Mus musculus: one gene and its partners. The protein of the gene in region 4 interacts with the protein of the main gene of each other region in a pairwise test. Links are inferred from orthologs where the notes say so. Each region holds a gene or a part of one and is shown on either strand. Other genes may lie near its edges. The genes, in order: Ssc5d, Kansl1, Nek6, Necab2 and Ehhadh.

The links.
Region 1: the proteins of Necab2 (region 4) and Ssc5d interact in binary tests that used the Homo sapiens proteins (3 or more experiments, as listed by UniProt). The two-hybrid records come from large-scale screens. The link is inferred for Mus musculus from reciprocal best matches to the Homo sapiens genes NECAB2 and SSC5D.
Region 2: the proteins of Necab2 (region 4) and Kansl1 interact in binary tests that used the Homo sapiens proteins (3 or more experiments, as listed by UniProt). The two-hybrid records come from large-scale screens. The link is inferred for Mus musculus from reciprocal best matches to the Homo sapiens genes NECAB2 and KANSL1.
Region 3: the proteins of Necab2 (region 4) and Nek6 interact in binary tests that used the Homo sapiens proteins (3 or more experiments, as listed by UniProt). The link is inferred for Mus musculus from reciprocal best matches to the Homo sapiens genes NECAB2 and NEK6.
Region 5: the proteins of Necab2 (region 4) and Ehhadh interact in binary tests that used the Homo sapiens proteins (3 or more experiments, as listed by UniProt). The two-hybrid records come from large-scale screens. The link is inferred for Mus musculus from reciprocal best matches to the Homo sapiens genes NECAB2 and EHHADH.

What each region holds. Positions count from the first base shown.
Region 1 is NC_000073.6:4,935,808-4,939,323, reverse strand, and holds part of Ssc5d (soluble scavenger receptor cysteine-rich domain-containing protein SSC5D precursor), read right to left. Parts: intron 3,062-3,516; coding exon 2,498-3,061; intron 2,417-2,497; coding exon 2,102-2,416; intron 1,860-2,101; coding exon 1,692-1,859; intron 1-1,691.
Region 2 is NC_000077.6:104,439,521-104,443,684, forward strand, and holds the start of Kansl1 (KAT8 regulatory NSL complex subunit 1), read right to left. Parts: upstream 2,801-4,164; 5' UTR 2,205-2,800; intron 1-2,204. UniProt on the Homo sapiens protein: Non-catalytic component of the NSL histone acetyltransferase complex, a multiprotein complex that mediates histone H4 acetylation at 'Lys-5'- and 'Lys-8' (H4K5ac and H4K8ac) at transcription start sites and promotes transcription initiation.
Region 3 is NC_000068.7:38,567,195-38,570,710, forward strand, and holds part of Nek6 (serine/threonine-protein kinase Nek6), read left to right. Parts: intron 1-1,652; coding exon 1,653-1,761; intron 1,762-2,433; coding exon 2,434-2,541; intron 2,542-3,516. UniProt on the Homo sapiens protein: Protein kinase which plays an important role in mitotic cell cycle progression. Required for chromosome segregation at metaphase-anaphase transition, robust mitotic spindle formation and cytokinesis.
Region 4 is NC_000074.6:119,453,214-119,456,729, reverse strand, and holds part of Necab2 (N-terminal EF-hand calcium-binding protein 2), read right to left. Parts: intron 2,530-3,516; coding exon 2,504-2,529; intron 2,372-2,503; coding exon 2,274-2,371; intron 1-2,273. UniProt on the Homo sapiens protein: May act as a signaling scaffold protein that senses intracellular calcium.
Region 5 is NC_000082.6:21,763,827-21,767,342, forward strand, and holds part of Ehhadh (peroxisomal bifunctional enzyme), read right to left. Parts: intron 2,742-3,516; coding exon 2,400-2,741; intron 1-2,399. UniProt on the Homo sapiens protein: Peroxisomal trifunctional enzyme possessing 2-enoyl-CoA hydratase, 3-hydroxyacyl-CoA dehydrogenase, and delta 3, delta 2-enoyl-CoA isomerase activities. Catalyzes two of the four reactions of the long chain fatty acids peroxisomal beta-oxidation pathway.

The DNA of each region.
Region 1 (3,516 bases), on a different chromosome or scaffold from region 4:
GCAGATGAGATGGATCGGCACCTAGCTGAAAATTCTAGTTGTATACCTGGAACCAACATGGTAAAAGGAGAAGACTGACTCCTGCAGGTTGTACATAGACACACACACAAGCACGAATCCACGCATGCAAGTGTGCACACACACATATGAGCTCGTATACTCATGCATATACACACTTACATATGAGTGCGTGTGCGAGCACATACTGTGGCATATGGCCCTGAGCACAGGTGTGCATGCACACACATATACAATCAATCAATCTAACAAAGAAAAAGGAAGGAAAGGGGGAACGCTACAGAAGGGAGGAGATAAAAGCAGAGGGTCTGAAAAAGACAGTGGAGGGGGAACCCAGGAAGGAAAGAAGAGAGGAAGTCACGTGAAATACAGTGAGTGACGGGCAAGGTGGTACATGCCCAGTGACCCGAGGGCTGGGGAGGTGGAGGCAGGGGGAGAACAGGAGTTCTAGGCCAGCTGGGACAACGAAAGAAAAAAGAAAAAGCAAACTACTGAGAAATGGGGTGAGATGGTGACTTGAAAGGAAGATACAGGGGCTGGACAGAGAGTTCAGGCTGTTCTCCCAGAGAAGCCAGGTTCAATTCCCTGCACCCATGTGGCTGCTCACGCCTGTCTATAACTCCAGTTTCAGGAGCACTAGTGCCCTCTTCTGGCCAGGACTCTGGTGCCCTCTTCTGGCCTGTGTGGGAACTGTATGCACATGGCATAGATATGCCTACAACCATACCCATAAAATAATAACTTTAAACAATGTAAAAGGTGTGGAAGGAGTATAGAACTTTAAAGAAAAACTGATGAAAAAAACCAAGAGATACTGCACTGGGAAAAACAGAGTACTAAAGAGGAAAAGAGAGTGGGAACGAATCCAATGGGAGAAAGACACCAGGAGAAAAGCAAAATGGAGTTCTAAGATGTAGGGGCCAGGGTGGATGGAGATCCCTGGGTTAGCATCAGGGGTGGAAGGACACAGACCATAGCAAAACAGAAGCCATGGAGAAGCAGAAGGACTGACAGATGTCATGTAAGGCACTGACTTTCATGGGTGGGGCTGGGAAGGGCAGGAGTTAGAACCTGTGCTCCAGGAGGGTCCTGTCTGTGTCTGACCTAGAGCCTGACCAGGACAACACATGGACTGCCAGACTGGGTATGAGTCTGCTGACGGTGGAACCATGTGCTCACAGGACAACCCTGAGCTGAGGGCTCTGGGTCATTCCTGCACATGCTCTGGATTGAGGGGCATGGTCGATTTGGTAGGCTCAGTACTAGCTGATGCCCTCTGATCGCTCTGAGCCACATGCTGTCCCATTGCACTCTGGAGAAGGTGAATACTGTCAAGCCCAAGAGTGGAACACATTTAGGCAAGCCTGCCAGGACATGGAGGCCTAGGCTAGCTGTTAGAGAGATCTTTATGGCTGACCACAGTAGCACATATGTTTGCACTGCCAATACTTGGGAGGGGGAGACAGGAAGTTCAAGGCAAACCTCAGCCACATAGCAAGTTCAAGGCCAGTCTGGGATACAAGATATAGCACCTCAAAAACAAAACAAACAAAACAAAAGTGGGCGGATGCCATCGCCCGGTAGGTAAAGGAGCTTGTGGATAGAGCTCCACCATTTTGACTCTGACCTCATCACACATGCCTTGGCATATGCACCCAGGTTGAGCCCCTCACCCGTGTCTGGAAGGTTCTGTGTTGCTGGAGAGGGGACTTCAGTGTTTGTAGTGGTAGCCCAGGAAAGTGTATGTCCAGGCCGCGCAGCCACTGTGGTCCCTTTGGTCAGGTCCTCTCCGGAAGTAGGGTCCCAGGTCCAGGAAGGATAATCGTCATCACCCGTGTAGCCTGGGGGAGAGACAGGTAGCTTGTGCCTCTTCCTGCTAGCTGAGGTCCCCCCCCCCCGCCCCCGGGCTTCCCTTCCCTGCCAGAGTCTCCTGAAGTAACCCTTTCCTGCTCTCATGCTGAGCCCCCTCCAGCCCGCTCCTTAGACCTTTAGACACCAACGCTGAGTCCCCTCTAGCCCACGAGACACCATTCTGTCCCACTCTAACTCCACCACCTCGGCCTCCCTCACTGTTCCCTGGTACCAGTGCAGGTGAGCACCACGTCTTCTTCGTGGTCACAGTTGTGCTTCCCCCATGCCCCCGAGGGGCAGTCACTCAGTGACATCTCACTTCCTTTACAGCCCATGTCATCCAACCAGATGGGCCCAGTGCCAGGGCCATAGTGAGTTTTGCCTACTCGGGGCCGGACCTTTCCGCAACCCAGCTCCCAGCAGGCCACTGTGGCATCCCGGATGTCCCAGCTGTCATCACAGACTGTTCCCCAGAGTCCAGCATGCCACACCTCTAGCCGGCCAGCACACCTGTTGGGCCCATCAGCCAGACGAACCCGGAAGGGACCTGGGGGAGGTGGGAGGCTCTCAGGTTAGGAGGTACAGGGCCACCTCCCTGTCCCCACCCTTTTAACTCTCTACTACTCACCTGATGGCACAGGGACTCCAGCAGTTGGGGTGGTAGCTGGATCTTGGGATGATTCCAGAGAGCCTTCGGTGTTCTCACCCGATGGCTCCAAAGAGGTCTGAGGGTTTTCCGTTGTGGTGGCCTCAGAGGTCACTTCTTGGGGACCTTGAGTGGACTGTGACACCACAGGCTCTGAGGTCCACTCCCAGGGGACCCTAGGGGTCAGCCTTACAGTGGTATGTGAGGTCTGCCTGTGGGGAGCCTCAGTGGTCAGTCTCTTTGGTAACTCAGAGGTACGTGCTGTTGGATGTAGGGAGGTTGGGGTGCCTGGGGCCCTGGAATGTTTGGTGGTTGGCATCCCAGGGGGCTGAGTGGTTGGTCTCCTTGCATTTTTAGTCACCCACTTCTTGGTACTCTTGGGAGCTTTCCCTGGAACCTTTGTGGGTTTCTGTGGCACACTGGAGGTGAGACTGGCAGAAGGTTTGGTGGTTAGCTCTCCTGGGAGCCAGGCATCCTGATCTCTACCCAGCCCAGGGAGCCAGCTCCAACTGAAAGGGTCTGAGATGGTATCCAGGCCGGGGGTCCCTAGGAGACCGGGAGGGAGGAGAGATAAGATCATGGGGAAGGTCTCGTCCTGTCCTGCTAACCCATACCCTCCGCCCTCGTTTCACTTAAGAAAATAGAAGTCTGTTGGACTGAAGAGATGGGTCTGTGGCTAAGAGTACTTGCTGCTCTTCCATAGGACCTGGGTTTGATTCTTAGCACAAACATAGTGGCTCACAACTGTCTGTAACTCTAATCTCAGAGAGTCTGGTGGCCTCTCCTGGCCTCCAAGGACTCCAGACAAGCACATGGCGCACAGATCCACTTGCAGGCAAAATACCTGCACACTTAAAAACTAAATAGGGCTGGTGAGATGGCTCAGTGGGTAAGAGCACCCGACTGCTCTTCCGAAGGTCTGAAGTTCAAATCCCAGCAACCACATGGTGGCTCACAACCATCTGTAACAAGATCTGACGCCCTCTTCTGGAGTGTCTGAA
Region 2 (4,164 bases), on a different chromosome or scaffold from region 4:
AAACCTCCAATTTATCTCAAAATCTGCATAGAACTGATGACTTTTGTGTACAGAAACAAATCATCACATACACTTAATTAAATAACTACCTTCATCAGAATAAAGATTTTAAGAATCTATGTGATTGTTAATGGTTCCAAGTAGATCACACTTCAAAAATAATGTCAAACCACCTCAAGTTCTGAGGTCACTAACAAATCAAATCAAATATTCTAAAGGTCAAAAGAACTGTACACTTGGTTGGCTAAACCTAGTGGAAATCTAATTCAGGATTCCATGACTAAGGGTCGTTACCAAATAGTTACAATACATTGTTTAAATTTCCAAAGGATGAGCATTTTTACCTCGCAATATTTTTAGAGCAACACATCACACTGCACCTATCACATGACATGATGTAACTGTTAGCAAAGAAAATGGCCCAAGCCATTGATAACATACATCAGGAGAAAACAGATCAATCATACTCAAGAATTACATTTTATATTTACTTTTTGAAGCTAGTAACTTACCTAGAAAAAGAAAAAAATGTACTTTAGCATTTTATAGTTAATATTTACAAGAAGTTATAACAACCAAGTAAGAAGATTGGAAAACTAGAATTAAAAACTTCTCTATCAAAAATGCAACAAAGAAACACATCAAAAGTATCCACTGTCAGAAGAAAAAAAAAAAAAAGTCTCAACTGACAACAGCTGCAGTTAATTGAAAATTTCTAAATTGGTAGGAGAATAAGACAAGAAACCAAGTACAGCCCATAGAAGAGAGGAAAGGGAAACACGCCCACTTTATGCTTTTGTAAATACTGGTACTTCAAATGACCTTAAAAACAAAAACAAAAAAGGGAGGTGGGGTGGGAAATATAAACTGCAGACCAGTCTAAGAAACAGAAATCATTTTAATATAACGATTTTCCTACTTGATTGAAAGTACTTTTGAGAAGAAGTTCTGTAACTATATCATGATTATGCAAGGCAAGGATTATGTAATTTTATCGTTTATTTTAAAATGTTCTCCGAATGTATTAAAAAAAAAAAACCCTAGAGCATTGTGATCTCTCTAATGGGCAGAGGGACACTTACTTGGCTACAGCTTAAAATATTAACATACACCCCCCCAAACAAACAAACAAAACCCCACAATGATTGCTAGCCACGTGACGAAGGATATGGCAACACCAGGATTGTGAATGGAGGGGAGGAAAGCTAGGTTGGAGGACTAGCGAGATTTCTCTTAACTTTGGGGACTGCAGGATTCGGGTTTCTCAATCTTTAAGGTACCAAATTCTAACCCCTAAGAGTTGTACAGCTAACACCCTCAAGTGCGGTTTTATTAATAGGTCACGGAAAATGCTCCAGTGACCTCCAGGATAAAGGAGGAAAAAACAGGCGGAGGAAAGAGCAATTTAAAGTGGCGCCATCATGTCACCCCTTTTCCCCTAAGGCAATCAATAAGCAATAGTTAAGTAACGAGTTTCTCTAAAAATCCACATTGGGATTCCAACATTGGAAAACAAAAGGATTTCTAGGTAAAACATGGGAGTAAGATTGTTTACAATACGGAAAACAATTATAAACTATTTGCTGAGAATCAAAGGCCGTCAGTCCGAAAACAGGCCCCCCCAAAAGCAGTAAGATTCCAACTCACTTAAAAGCAAATAAATGCCTCTTCCTCTTTAGTTGAAAAAAAGGGCTGCCTGAGACTAGATCCGAAAACGCAAATGACCTCAATATTTAAGCAACAAAAAATGTTAACAATCAGAGTTGTGATACAAACCGTGAGACAGACATGCAAGATGTGTTTGAGCAAAGAAAGACCTTTTGCAGTCAAGAGAAGTTCAAGGCGAGAGCAAGAGTTTGTTTTTGGTCTTTTTGTTTTTGCTTTTTTTTTTTTTTTTTTTCGGAAATAAACCAGGTTCTCCAGGCCGCCTTTTTAAATAGAACGCCAAAGGAAAGCCCAGCGAACGAGGCGGCAGCTGGTGGGGAAGGGCCCCCGCACACCCCCGCCCTTGGGGCGACTCCCAGCCCGGACCCGCAGCGGGGAAGCCCGGAGAGGCCATTTAAAGTTCCGGGGATTTTTCTTCCCCTGCCCAGCCTTTCTAGTTACAACTAACAAAGAGAGGGAGAAATGGGAACCACAGGGAGAGCGAGGAGAAGGAGAAAGGGCAGCGGGAGGAGGAGGAAAGGAGCAGCAGCAGCACCTACCACGTGATGGAGGAGCGTAGCCCGGGCGGATTCGGCCCCACAAAATGGGCGCAGTTTGCAAACAGCCCCCCGGCCTGGGCGCCGAGGACCAGCGGGCGGGGGCGCGCGGCTGCTGCTCCGGCCCGGCCCGCCGCTCTCCTCCCCCCCGGCGCCCGGAGCCGCCCTGACTTTCCGGGCGGGGGGGCGAGGCGGAGGGGGAGGGGAAGGCGGCGGCGGCGGGGAGCGGCTGCTTTTTCTTCTCTTTCGGGCCCTTTCTCCGGCCTTCCTCCGTTCCGACCCGGCCTGGGCACGGCGGGGACCGCAGCCCCGGGCGGGCGGGGGCAGAGGGTAAAGCTGCCCCCCCCGCCCCGCACAAACAAGCGCCGCCGTCTGCAGCCCGCGCCCGCACCCCGGCCGCCACCCCGGGAGCTTCTTCCCGGCCGGGGAGCGCACTTCGGCCGCCCCCCAAGCCGCCGCGGCGAGACGAGTCGGCTTCGCTACGGCGCTTGGTTCTCCCGCCGGCTCAGCGAGCGGTGGCGGTGGCGGCGGCGGCACTGGGAAAATGGCGGCCGAGCTCCTTTTCCCTCCCCCCCTTTAATCTGAAGCGGAGGGAGAATGGAGCGAGCAAGCGAGCGGGCGAGTGCCGGGGACACGGGGAGGAGGGACAGCAGCGCCTCCGCCGGCTGCGGCTGCGGCGGGCCGCTCCGCCCCGGCGCGCCGCCAGGGGGCGCCCGCCTCGCCGCCCCCGCGGGCTGCCAGGAGGCGCGGCCGCCGCCGCCTCAGTCATGGCTCCTAGCCGCGGCCGCTGCTTCTGCGCCTCTGTTTGCGGAAACCGGTGCCTGGTGCCTGATACGTGCGGCAGCGACACGCGGCACTGCGGCAAGCGACGCGGGGCCCTCGCTTCGATCGAGGTGAGGCTAACCTGAGGCGCTGATGCCGTCACATTCCCTCGGCTCTGTGGCTGGCGGTGCTGCGCGCCGGTTTGAGGGGAGGGCGGACTGACACAGCAGAGCTAGAGGACGTGAGCGAAGAACTGTGTGTGCAGTGAATGAAGAAGCTGCTGCGGCCACACTACCCCAGGGCCAACCGTGCTCTGAGACGGGCAGGAAGCTCCCTGACCAGTGACGCGGTCCCTGCCACCCGCCCTTTGTCCTACACCCTGCTCTGTACACTGCAGCACACGGCTGGCTGCTAGCCCTAGCGCCACGCTCTGCAGCCGCCAAACCAAAAAATAAGCGGACGCCATTGCGCAGGCGCGAGCTAGGACCGACTCGGGGCTAGCCCGGGCAGGGGCAGCTGGGAGCTAGAGGGGAAATGATGGCCCACCAGCGCCGGGCCCGCTGGGAACTGTAGTTTTCGTTAAGCCCGCGTGTTGTTTTAGGCTTCTTGATTTGTCAGATCCGCCAAAATAGGCAAAAACGCATTCATTACACAGTAATTTTTTTGTTTCCTGCTACTACCAAATTAAAGTTCACAGACCCGCTAAAAGTTTAACAATGAACAACAAAAGCAAACCTGTCATGTTCTTACCAGCGTTGACTTAAAAGTAGTGGCACCTAATTACTCTTGACTCTAGTTTGTCAGCACGATATCGGTTCCTTCCTCCCAAATAAGGTTTAATATCAGAGAACATTTTCTGGACTTAGAAAACTTAATATAACGCAAAGTGACACATTACACAGTACAAATCCACCACCCTTTAAAGCTAACCATGTCCAAAGATTATTAGGACTCACCAAAATCAAATAGCATAAAACTTGTTCCAACAACTAAATCACCAAGCTCAGCAGATGAGAAGAGTAGAGTCTACCAAAAGGAAGATGTAAAATGCTCAATACTTTGTGTGGTTTACCAAACCAGTATCCGGTGTTATGTGTCACTTCAGCTCCTCAAAAAAAAAAAACTATTGTTATAGACCAGTTTTCATTAGCCCACAAAGTCTCTAACTCAACAAGTTTCTGCAGTATCTGCATCTATATTT
Region 3 (3,516 bases), on a different chromosome or scaffold from region 4:
GTCCCCACGTAAACACTATAATGAGGACCAAATAACATTATGGTGTAAATAACAGGCCGCCCAGCCTGGCACAGAGGCCTGGGGGTGGCCCAAAGCAGAGGTCTTTGGGGAGACCAGAAGAGCCAGCTCGCCAGCTCCTCCTAGAAGGGCCTCAGGAGAGCCTCAAGGGGTTTTACTTCCAGGCCAGTAGCTAGCAGCTATCCCGGCCCTGTGTCTGGAGGTCCCCAGCTCTAGATCCCAGCCTCCGTGCGTGCTCCTGATGCATAGCCGTGGGCCTGTGCATGAGCCTCTCTGGGCATGGTCCCCGTCACAGATTCTCAGCGTCATTCGATGTGATGAACTCAGAAGGCCTAACTAAGCTCCATTTTGTAGCCCTCAGGGCCTTTGTGCTGCTTGCTGAGAGTCCAGCAGCATGATTGAGCGTGGCCTGTACGCAGCAGGGCTTTCCTGCACCTCTGTTTCCTCCCCAGGCTAGGCAGGTGCCCTGGTAGTTAGTTCCTGGCTTCCTACACTGGAATAGCTGCTTGGCACTGGCCACAGTGCTGCCTCTTGCCACTAGAACCACAGCTTGGTGATGAGGTAGCCGAGGTGCTAGCCATTGCCCTACACCTCAGTACAGGCCTGCTGCGCACACCCCTATACACACACACACACACACACACACACACACACACACTGTCTCAGGATTTGTTCCTGCATTATCCTTCCAGAACCTTCTGTTCAATTCTCTTTCAGTGCAGCCTGGAGAGTTGTTTCTTGACTTTTTTCTTTCTTTCTTTTTTTTCCCCCCTGGGGGTTCCAATGTGGTTTACTAGGTGTCCTGGCTAATTTTAAGTCAACTTGACATAGGCTAAAGAAATCTGAGAGGAGGGAATCTCCACTGAGAAAATGCAGCCATTAAATTCTGCCGTGGGTGGGCAAGACTGTAAGGCATTTTCTTAATTAGTGACTGATGGGGGAGGGCCTAGCCCATGATGGGTGGTTCTGTCCCTGGGCTGGTGGTCCTGGGGTCTATAAGAAAGCAGGATGAGCAAGCCAGTAAGCGCCACCCCTCCATGGCTTCTGCATCGGCTCGTGCACACCAGTTCCTGCCCTGACCGCCTTCCATGACAGACTATGATATGGAAGTAGTGGATAAAATAAACACTTTCCTCCTAAACTTGCTGTGGTGTTTCATCACAGCAATGGAAGCCCTGACTAAGACAGTAGGCAAGGAGGTAAATAAATTAGTGCCTGCTGAAACCAAGGGTCTGTTTGACGAAGTTAAGTCCTTCTCCTCAAGGGTTACTGTGCCTTTAGCAGTCACATGACACTGAGATTTAACGACTGAGGACATGGGGACAACAATGACTATCTATCTCTCAGGCCTGGTTCTCCTCCCACGCCAGGCTCGGACTGATGCTGAGAGTCCTTAGTCTCCCCAGGCCCCTGTGAGCAGGTCACTGAGAGGCTCTTCCTTGGGCTTCCCTCTGGCCAGGCTCTGACCTCATGGTCCATTTCATCTGGGGCCCCCTGAGCTCTGCTGGGCTGAAGAGAGGTGCTGACACAACATCCCGGCCCCTCACTGTTTGCTTGGCCTTTGCTGGTGTGATCACCGTGTCACCCTTGCTGGAAATATGCTCACCCAGGCCTGTCTGTCTGTCACCCCACAGTATTTCAAGAAGCAGAAGCGGCTTATCCCTGAGAGGACCGTGTGGAAGTACTTCGTGCAGCTGTGCAGCGCTGTGGAGCACATGCACTCCCGACGTGTGATGCACCGAGGTGTGTGCCCCTCCTTGGCCCGGGACTCCAGCTCTGAGCCTTCGAGCGCCCCAGGAGCTGCCCTGAGAATGAGGCCATTTAGGCCATGCAGGGTATCCAGTAGCTGCACTCACATCTGTCCCATTCGAGGACCCACCTGGGAGGGCGGGGGAGTCTTATCTGATGCCCGATAGTCATCACTTAAGCTTCAGGGAATGGGACCATCACAGCATGCTGACTCCACTCATCCCAGATGTGGCCAAACCTGGTGCTGAGGCCAGTTTTGCCCAGAGAAAGTTTCCCATGGGCTTTGATATCTTGGTAGGCATTGGCTAAGCAAGCTATACCCCCACCCTACCCCAGAAAGTGCTTTGAGGAGGTATTTCAGGTTGTGAGGAAGCCTGTCGAAGGTGTCTTTGAGTTGCTTTCACCTGTGTGAGACCCTGCCCTAGTCACTGCAGTGCAAAGCTTACTGACTGTCAGACAGTGTCTCCCGTGCGGTGACGCTCGTCTGGCACAGGGGAGGCAGCTGTACAAAAGGAGACAGTAGTATAGAAGTCTCTGCTCCCCACTCACAGCCAACCTGTGACATGGGGGAGGGGGATAGTCATGTTACAGATGAAGTAAATGAGCCTCCTCCCATCCCTTCTAAGCCTGCTCTCCCCACACCAACCCTGTGTCCTTGCCCTGCAGACATCAAGCCCGCCAACGTGTTCATCACAGCTACGGGCATTGTGAAGCTTGGTGACCTCGGCCTGGGCCGCTTCTTCAGCTCGGAGACCACTGCGGCCCACTCACTAGGTAAGAGGCCTATGTCCCACCTACCCGCAGCCCCTGTAGGCCTGGGTGACCCAGCCGGAAGGGCATCCATTCTCCTGGAACTATTTGTAGTGTGTGGGAAGATCTTTTTTGAGTCTTAAGAGTTCACCCTTGCTTTGGGATAGATCCAAAGTAGAGGAAACTGAGGCCCAGAGGGGCCACTGCAGGGGGGAAGGGGGATCTCCCCATATCCCCAAGTCATCTCTCTAGTACTTCCTGGAAGGCCAACAGACCCTGTCATATAGAATGGACTGCATCTGCCTGGCTTGTGGTCCTTTTGCTGTGCCCAATTGGCCCTGTGACCTACTCCCCAGGTAGATCTGCTTGTAAGACTGAAGAGGCAGTCTTGGGGGCTGGGGCTGGGTGGTTGGATTGTGGAGGAAGAACATCTGGGAAGGCCCCCGAGAAGGAGCCATGTCCAGTTGTGGGAGCTGTGCATGAGCTTGGGGTGATGCCAATAAGCAGGTGTTGGAGAATGGGTACAGGCCTTGATGTCCCTGTTGGGAGTGTGAAGAGGGGCTTCAGGTTAGGTGGGGCTGTGTGGGCTTCGGAGTGTGTGCCGGAGTGTGTGCCGGAGTGTGTGCCGGAGTGATGAAGATGGAGCTGCTGCTCTTTAATTAGTTTAATGGAGCCAGCATAACCACAGAGACAGCAGGGTTTCACCAGGAATCCATGAGAGGCCGGGGTCTCCCAGCTTCTCCCAACATCTCTCAGGGATCACTAGGGGAGACAGAGGAGACCCGGAGCCAGCCTGTGACCTGTGGCCACCTCCCAGGGAAAAAAAAAAAAAAAAACCTCTGGCTCTACTCATTTCCATGCCACCCCACAGCTCCAGTCTGGGTGTCTCCCATCACCACACAACTGGGTGCCTGTAGCCAGCCATGAGCCATCAGCAGCTTCTGGTGGCAGCATGGGTGCTCTGTGGGGAACTCTCCTCTGGAAACTGTCACCGTTCAT
Region 4 (3,516 bases):
CACAGGCATCTGAGCAGATTCCTCACCATCACCCAAGACAGAACAAAGAGGAAGAAAACAACATTCCCCCCCCCCCCTTGTACAGGCTGAACTGAAGAGGGTTCTAAAATAAGAGCTGGCATTAATATTGCAATTAGTGGAAAGATGCTGGAGAGATGTACTTGAAAGGCCGGGGCCTGGCGTCATTGTAGTGCGTTAGTTTCTGGGGAATATGCCACATGCACCACAGGCATCGGAGGAGCCAAGGCTAGCCCCCACACAGGAGGCTAACCCAGCTAACCATGACCGAGGCTACTACAACAGAAATCAAGGTAACAGAATTCAGTAACCAGCAGAGACCGGAAGGTGCCTTAGTTAGGGTGTCTCTGGCTATGCAGAAACCCTGTGACCAAAAGCAACTTGGGGAAGAAAGGGTTTCTTTCAGCTTACACTCCCACATTACTGGCCACTGACAGAAGACAGGGCAGAAATCCAAGGCAGGAGCTGACACAGCGGCCATGGAGAAATGCCACTTACTGGCTTGCACCCCAAGCCAGTTTTCTTACAGCATCTAAGGCTACCAGCCCAGGGATCGCACCCCACAAAGTGAGCTGGGCTTTCTCCTATCCACCATCAATCAAGAAAGCACCACAGGCCAATCTGTTGGGGGAAATCTTCTCAACTGAGATCAACTCGGATGACCCTCGCTTATGTCAAGTCGACATAAAAACTTGTCAGCGTACAAAGAAAGCATCAAAGATTAGCATCAGGCTGCCTTTCTACAAACAGGCCAGCTAGGAGAAACCTGAGAAGGAGAAAAATACTCAGTGACAGTTGTCAGGCCCTGCAAGGGTATTCCCGAGTCACCCAGGACCACGGTGACCACCTGAGGTCACCTGAGGCCACCCAAGGCCACATGTGCAAGGTCCTAGTGGCACCACAGCTAAGGCTGCGCAGATCCTCCTGGGAGTTCAGCTCCTCTCCCTCATGGAGGGTGAGGTTCTGATCCTGAGAGCCATGATCAAAGAGTAGGTGGAACACTGTAATGAGGGCCCAGTGCCTCTTTACAAGCCTTACAGCAACAGAGCAACTCCTAGGTGGGAGGGAGAGGCCAAGGAGCTCTTGCTACAAAATCCATCTTCCCCTCCCCTCCATGTCGCAGCCAGCCACAACTGAGCAGGCTGACACCCTTCCCTGGAACACCCTGCTAATGTTTAAGCCACCACGGACACTGGGGCTGTCAGCAAAATTGCCACGATGACAGTCTTCAAGAGGAGCTCTTGTAGGGTCTTAAAATAATTGCAAACAGCAAGCACAATGCCAGAATGTCAGTGTGTGTGTGTGTGTGTGTATGTGTCTATGCATGTGTGTCTGTGTCTGTGTGTATGTGTCTCTGTGTGTGTCTGTGTCTGTATGTGTCTGTGTTTGTGTGTGTATCTGTGTGTCTGTGTGTGTATGTATCTCTGTGTGTGTGTATGTGTCTCTGTGTGTCTGTGTGGGTATCTGTGTGTTTGTGTGTGTATCTGTGTGTGTGTGTCTGTGTGTGAATGTGCCTGTGTGTGTTTGTGTGTCTATGTATCTCTGTGTGTGTGTATGTGTCTGTGTGTGTGTTTTTGTCTGTGTGTGTCTTTGTGTGTGTAGGGGGGGTTCAGACTCAGCAATGTTTGTGTACATGGCAAGAAGGAGCCCTCCGGCCAGCTGTGGCAGGGCATGGCACAGGCCACGTGTGAGAAGCCGAGGGAGCTGGTATTGACCTATGCAGTCCTGCACTCAGCAGCTCAGAGGACCCACTTCCTTCAGTTCCTTCAAGGCCTGGAATATGGATGCTCTGGCTTCACAGACAATGAAAGTAAGACTACAGTCCTTCAACCTGGTCCCTGACCAGACCAGCTAAGTATTCTACTGCATATGGGTCAGCTGCTTAGGAGACATCTTTGCACTCCTGAGTCAAGTTCAGATAGATAAACCTGCAGTCCCTGCTTTCAGATCCCTAGGTCTACACTGTACCTTAAGCAGCCAACCCCTTGGGGACTCCTGCTTCACAAGACTTCCACTCCAGGACCACCCTTGACCCTGGGAAAGGCCCTCACACTCTGATGCACAGCCTACAGGACAGGGCTCGCCACCAAGGTGCTCCTCTAAGTACGTGGCTTATCTCCGCTCTTCAGTGAGTCCTCGGTCAAACATTTGCCGCCACAAATCCAGACACCCTTGGACAGCAATGATCTGAAAGATCTAGAATAAACTAGCACTCAGATCTTAGTTTCCCGAAGGCACTACCCACAACCACTGACCTTCTTAGTGTAGCCCATGGCCTTCAGGACTGAGTGGTTCAAAGTCTCCAGGGAGGCCAGGACATCTTCATAGTCTCCCATGTGCTCCACAAAGTAGTCTGGGGCAGGAGATTGCAAAGGTCAGGGGTCACAGAGGACTCCACCCCTCTCCCTAGGGCCCTCCCACCAGGCCCCAACCTAGGCCCATACTGCTCTGCCCTCCTCTGATTGCCGTTGATTCAGGTACCTACCACACAGTTCCTTGGTGTCCACGTGGCTATAAAGGGAGAGAAGGAGGGAGGGAATAAAGGAGAGAGAGAGAAAGAAAGAGGGAGAGGGAGTTAGCAGTCCTTAAATTGCTTGTTTCTGACCCTCTGTGCAGTCCTTAAAGTGCTTGCTGCCTTCCCCCCATCCTAGACACTGACGTGAGCCCCACTTTCTAGAAGGTAGAAGAAGATGCAGGGTAAGCCACCTGCCTGCCTCCTGTTCTGCTTTTTTTTCCTTATTTGGAGACAAAGTTATATTATGTAATCCAGGCTGACCTAGAACTCTCATGATCCTCCTGCCTCAGTGTCTTGAGTGTTGTGGTCACAGACTTATGCCACCATATCTGGTGGTGTGTTTCTCTCTCTCTCTCTGAGTTCGTGGGCCATATTATGAGTGGATGGAACTAGTCAGGGGCTGAGCCTAGGAGAGGGGAAAGGGCCGCAGGGTGGGCTGTGACTATCGCAGCTTGTCAAAACAATAACCCTTCCCCTCCTGGGACTCTTGGAGCCCTGGGTCAGCCTCCATCATAGCCCTGAACTTCACTCCTTAGACCAAAGCAGAGAAGGGGTTGGTCCTTGCTGGGGGTTGGGGGAGGTGTATAAAGGCATCAACACCAGATGCTGCAGCAGAGGGACCAGGCAGGGTCTGGGTGGGGTCTGATGGCTCCTTTCTGGGCTTAGCCTCTCCTCTGGCCCAGGGCTAGCTTTGGTAGATCCTATGTTCAACAGCATATGTCTGGGTAAAAGTTTTCTGTAGACTCCAAGGCCGGTGGCAGTGACTGCCTTGGAATTCCTCAGACAGCCCGGAATGTTGCTTCTGATGAGTGAGTTGTCTGGGTAAGAAAGGCTTAGCAACTCAAGGGGCTGATGAACATTCGCAGTTTCTACTTCGGGGAATATTGGAGGCAAGAATCCAGAATGTTTTCAGAATTGTGACCTCCCCTAAAGTAAGTCTCCTACTCCGTCCTCCAGGACAGCCTCTGTTTTTTGTTTTTGTT
Region 5 (3,516 bases), on a different chromosome or scaffold from region 4:
GATTGAGCTCAGGGAATCCCATGGAAGTCTAGGAGGAAAGATTGTAGGAGCCAGAGGGGTCAAGGACACTACCAGAAAACTCACATAATCAGCTAACCAGGGTTCACAGATATTGAGCTGACAATCAGGAAGCCTGCAAGGGAATGATCTGCATATATGTGACTGTTGTATACCTTGGTCTTCTTGTGGGATTCCTAATAGTGGGAGCAGGGCTGTCTCTGACTCTTTTGCCTGATTTTGGGACCCTTTTCCTTCCTCTGGTTTGCCTCAAATCTTAATACAGGGAAGGTGCCTAGTCTTTACTGCAACTTGATATGCCGTGTTTGGCAACTTGATATCTCTGGGAGGCCTGCCCTTTCCCAAGGGAAACAGAGAAGGAGTGGATGAGGGAGGGTCTGTGGGGGAGGGAATTGGAGGAGAGGAGAGAGAGGAAACTGTGGTTTGGATGTAAATAATAATAATAATAAAAATATTTATTTCTCTGTGTGCATTATATCACAGACATCAGTATAAGGAGTTGGGTGTCCTTGTCTATCCTTTCTCCCTATTTCTTTTGAAGCAGAGACTTCTCTCTTAAGAGGCCGAGAGCTTGTGTCTTTTCACCTAGTCTGGAAGCCAGCAAGCACAGTGATACCCTTGTCTATATCCACCCCGCTCCTGGAAACAGGTGTTACAGGTGTTTGTGGGGAGGGGCTGCTCAAGTTGTCACATGGATGCTAGGATCAAAACTTTGATATTCATTATTTCAAATCAGTTACTCTTTTTCTTTCTTTCCTTCTTTCTTTTCTTTTTGGTTGTTTTGTTTTGTTTTGTTTTGTTTTTTCAAGACAGGGTTTCTCTGTGTAGCCCTGGCTGTCCTGGAGCTCACTCTGTAGACCAGGCTGGCCTCAAATTCAGAGATCCATCTGCCTCTGCCACCCAAGTACTAGGCATGTACCACCACTGCCTGGCTAAAGCAGTTACTCTTAACTGCTGAGCCATCTCTCCAGCCCCCAATATATCTTCACATATTAGCAATGAACTGTATGAAAATAAGAAAGCAATTTTACCTACAATAACATAAAAAATAACTATACTTATGGAATACATTTAACAAAGGAGGACTTGTGTACTAAAACCAATGAAACATCATTGGAAAAAAATTAAAGAATATCCAAGGTATTTATTGTTCAGTGTTAAAGTGCTTGCGTGCACAAGGCTGATACCTGACATTGAAAACAAGAAAAGAAAAGAAGAAAGAAAGAAAGAAAGAAAGAAAGAAAGAAAGAGGGAAAGAAATAAAAAGAATCAAAATCACCTAGATATTGGCAGAAAGACAGCCAATGTTCATGGACCAGAAAAAAATTTAGTATTGTTAGGATGAAATATCAAAATAATCTGTAGAGCCAATGCAAGCACTATACCAGCCCAACTTTTTGCATAATTAACACTAGATTCTACAATTCATATAGAAACACAAGAAACCTAGAAGAGTCAAAACAGTATTTTTAAAAATTGGAGATGGGGTTGGAGAGATGGCTCAGCAATTAAGAGCACTGGCTGCTCTTACAGAGGTCCTGAGTTCAATTCCCAGCCACCACATGGTGACTCACAGTTATCTCAGTAATGGGATCTGATGCCCTCTTCTGGTGTGTCTGAAGACAGCAACAATGTACTCACATATATAAAATAAACAAATCTTTCAAAAAAAGTTGGGAAAGTCACTCTTCCCAGTTTCAATAATTAAGACAAAAATATAGTATTCAAGGCAGTGAACAGAGAGTACATGCTGAGAGCCGGAAACAAACTCCACTCGTATGGCCTATGTATGGACAGGACTGCCACAGTTGGAAGGTCCCTAGAGCTGACCCGCAGGATGGAAAGAGTTTATAGGCTCCTACAAGAATTAACAAGCGTTAACATGAGTGCCATGTTCAACAAAATAATAGCTTCCCCAAGCAAGTGACATTTGAAGTGTGCTGTGCTTTTCATACAACAGTGCCATTGCACATATGAACCGACAACAGCTCTGGCTGCACACACAAGACCTGCACAACATCTAGCCAGACACAATCTCAGCATAAAGGGGAGGAGGGCAGGACATCCACCTGCAAGCTTTGGGCTATTGGTCAGTGAATGACTGTTGGCATGAGAAGTCAGCTTTCCCTCCTCCCTGGAGGCTTCCCACGTGCCTGTAGATGGCCTTACACCATGCACATGCTAGCAGCACTAAGTGACTTCCATGATTTTGAAAAAGAGAGAGAACACATGAAATAGGAAAAAAAAAAAAATAATGGCGGGGAGGCTAAGGGAGGAACTGAGGGAAAGGGAAAGCGGGGAGCTTGATCCAGACACAATGGACACATGTATGAACTTTTCAATTGATTAAAAGAAACCTGCAGGTTTGGAAATATGCTTACCAAGAACACCAACCGAGGAGACGGGTTGAGCAGATGCTGTTTTCCAAGATGCTCCTGAGGGAGTTGACCACTTATTTGCAGACTTTTCAGCAAAAAAGGCGTACTGCAGGGCTCTAGCCTGCCCCGACCCCCGAAGGTACATAAACAGCTTTGCTTCTTCCTTGATGGCCACTTCATATGGATGCTTCACGGAGGCCTGGACTGAACGGACACAAGTCTCCGGAGCCAGGCGGCCAGGGTACTGCTTCCGTACCTTGGCAATGGCTTCTGCAAAAACACTGTCCATGTTGGGCAAGCTTGGGACTGGCTTGTTTAGGATCCTGCGGGGTTCTATGGGTTTACCTGAAAGGAATTGCTAAAGGTCAGAGTATCGTAAGCATAATAGAAAGAGAACAGAACTGCCCAAAAACAAAACGACAGTGCGGTGCGTGGTTCCCACAACCCAGTCAGACGCTACGCACTACAATATCTAATGAAACACGATATCCAAAGTCTGTAATCTTAGTAACTTCAGACCGTAAAGTAGAAGATCGAAAGTATTATGCTACTAATTCAGACATGAAAGGTGCAGTCTCTTTTTATTCTGAGGCCAAGACAACTTTATAATATATTAAATATTAATCTGTACAAAGAGTACAGTTCTTACTTAATATCATCTATTCAAAATTATTCACATTCTTTCCCTAATAATGACAAAATCTTTAAAATACCATAACAGAGGGAAATGTTATATGGGGCAATGATTGGCAATAAAAAAGAATTGTAAGTTCATTGATAAGGACTTACAGTATAGTAAATTGATTTTTAATACAGGAGAAAAGATAGTCCACATGGCAAAAAGAGTCTTTTTTTTTTCCCCCTTCCCTCCAAAAGGTGGTGGGATAGCTGACTACAAAGGTGGGATAACTGACACACAGGTAGGAGAACCAGACACACAGGTGGGAGAACTGAATACACAGGTGGGAGAACTGATACACAGGTGGGAGAACTGGATACACAGGTGGGAGAACTGATACACAGGTGGGAGAACTGATACACAGGTGGGAGAACTGGATACACAGGTGGGAGAACTGATACACAGGTGGGAGAACTGATACACAGGTACTAAATAAGTAAA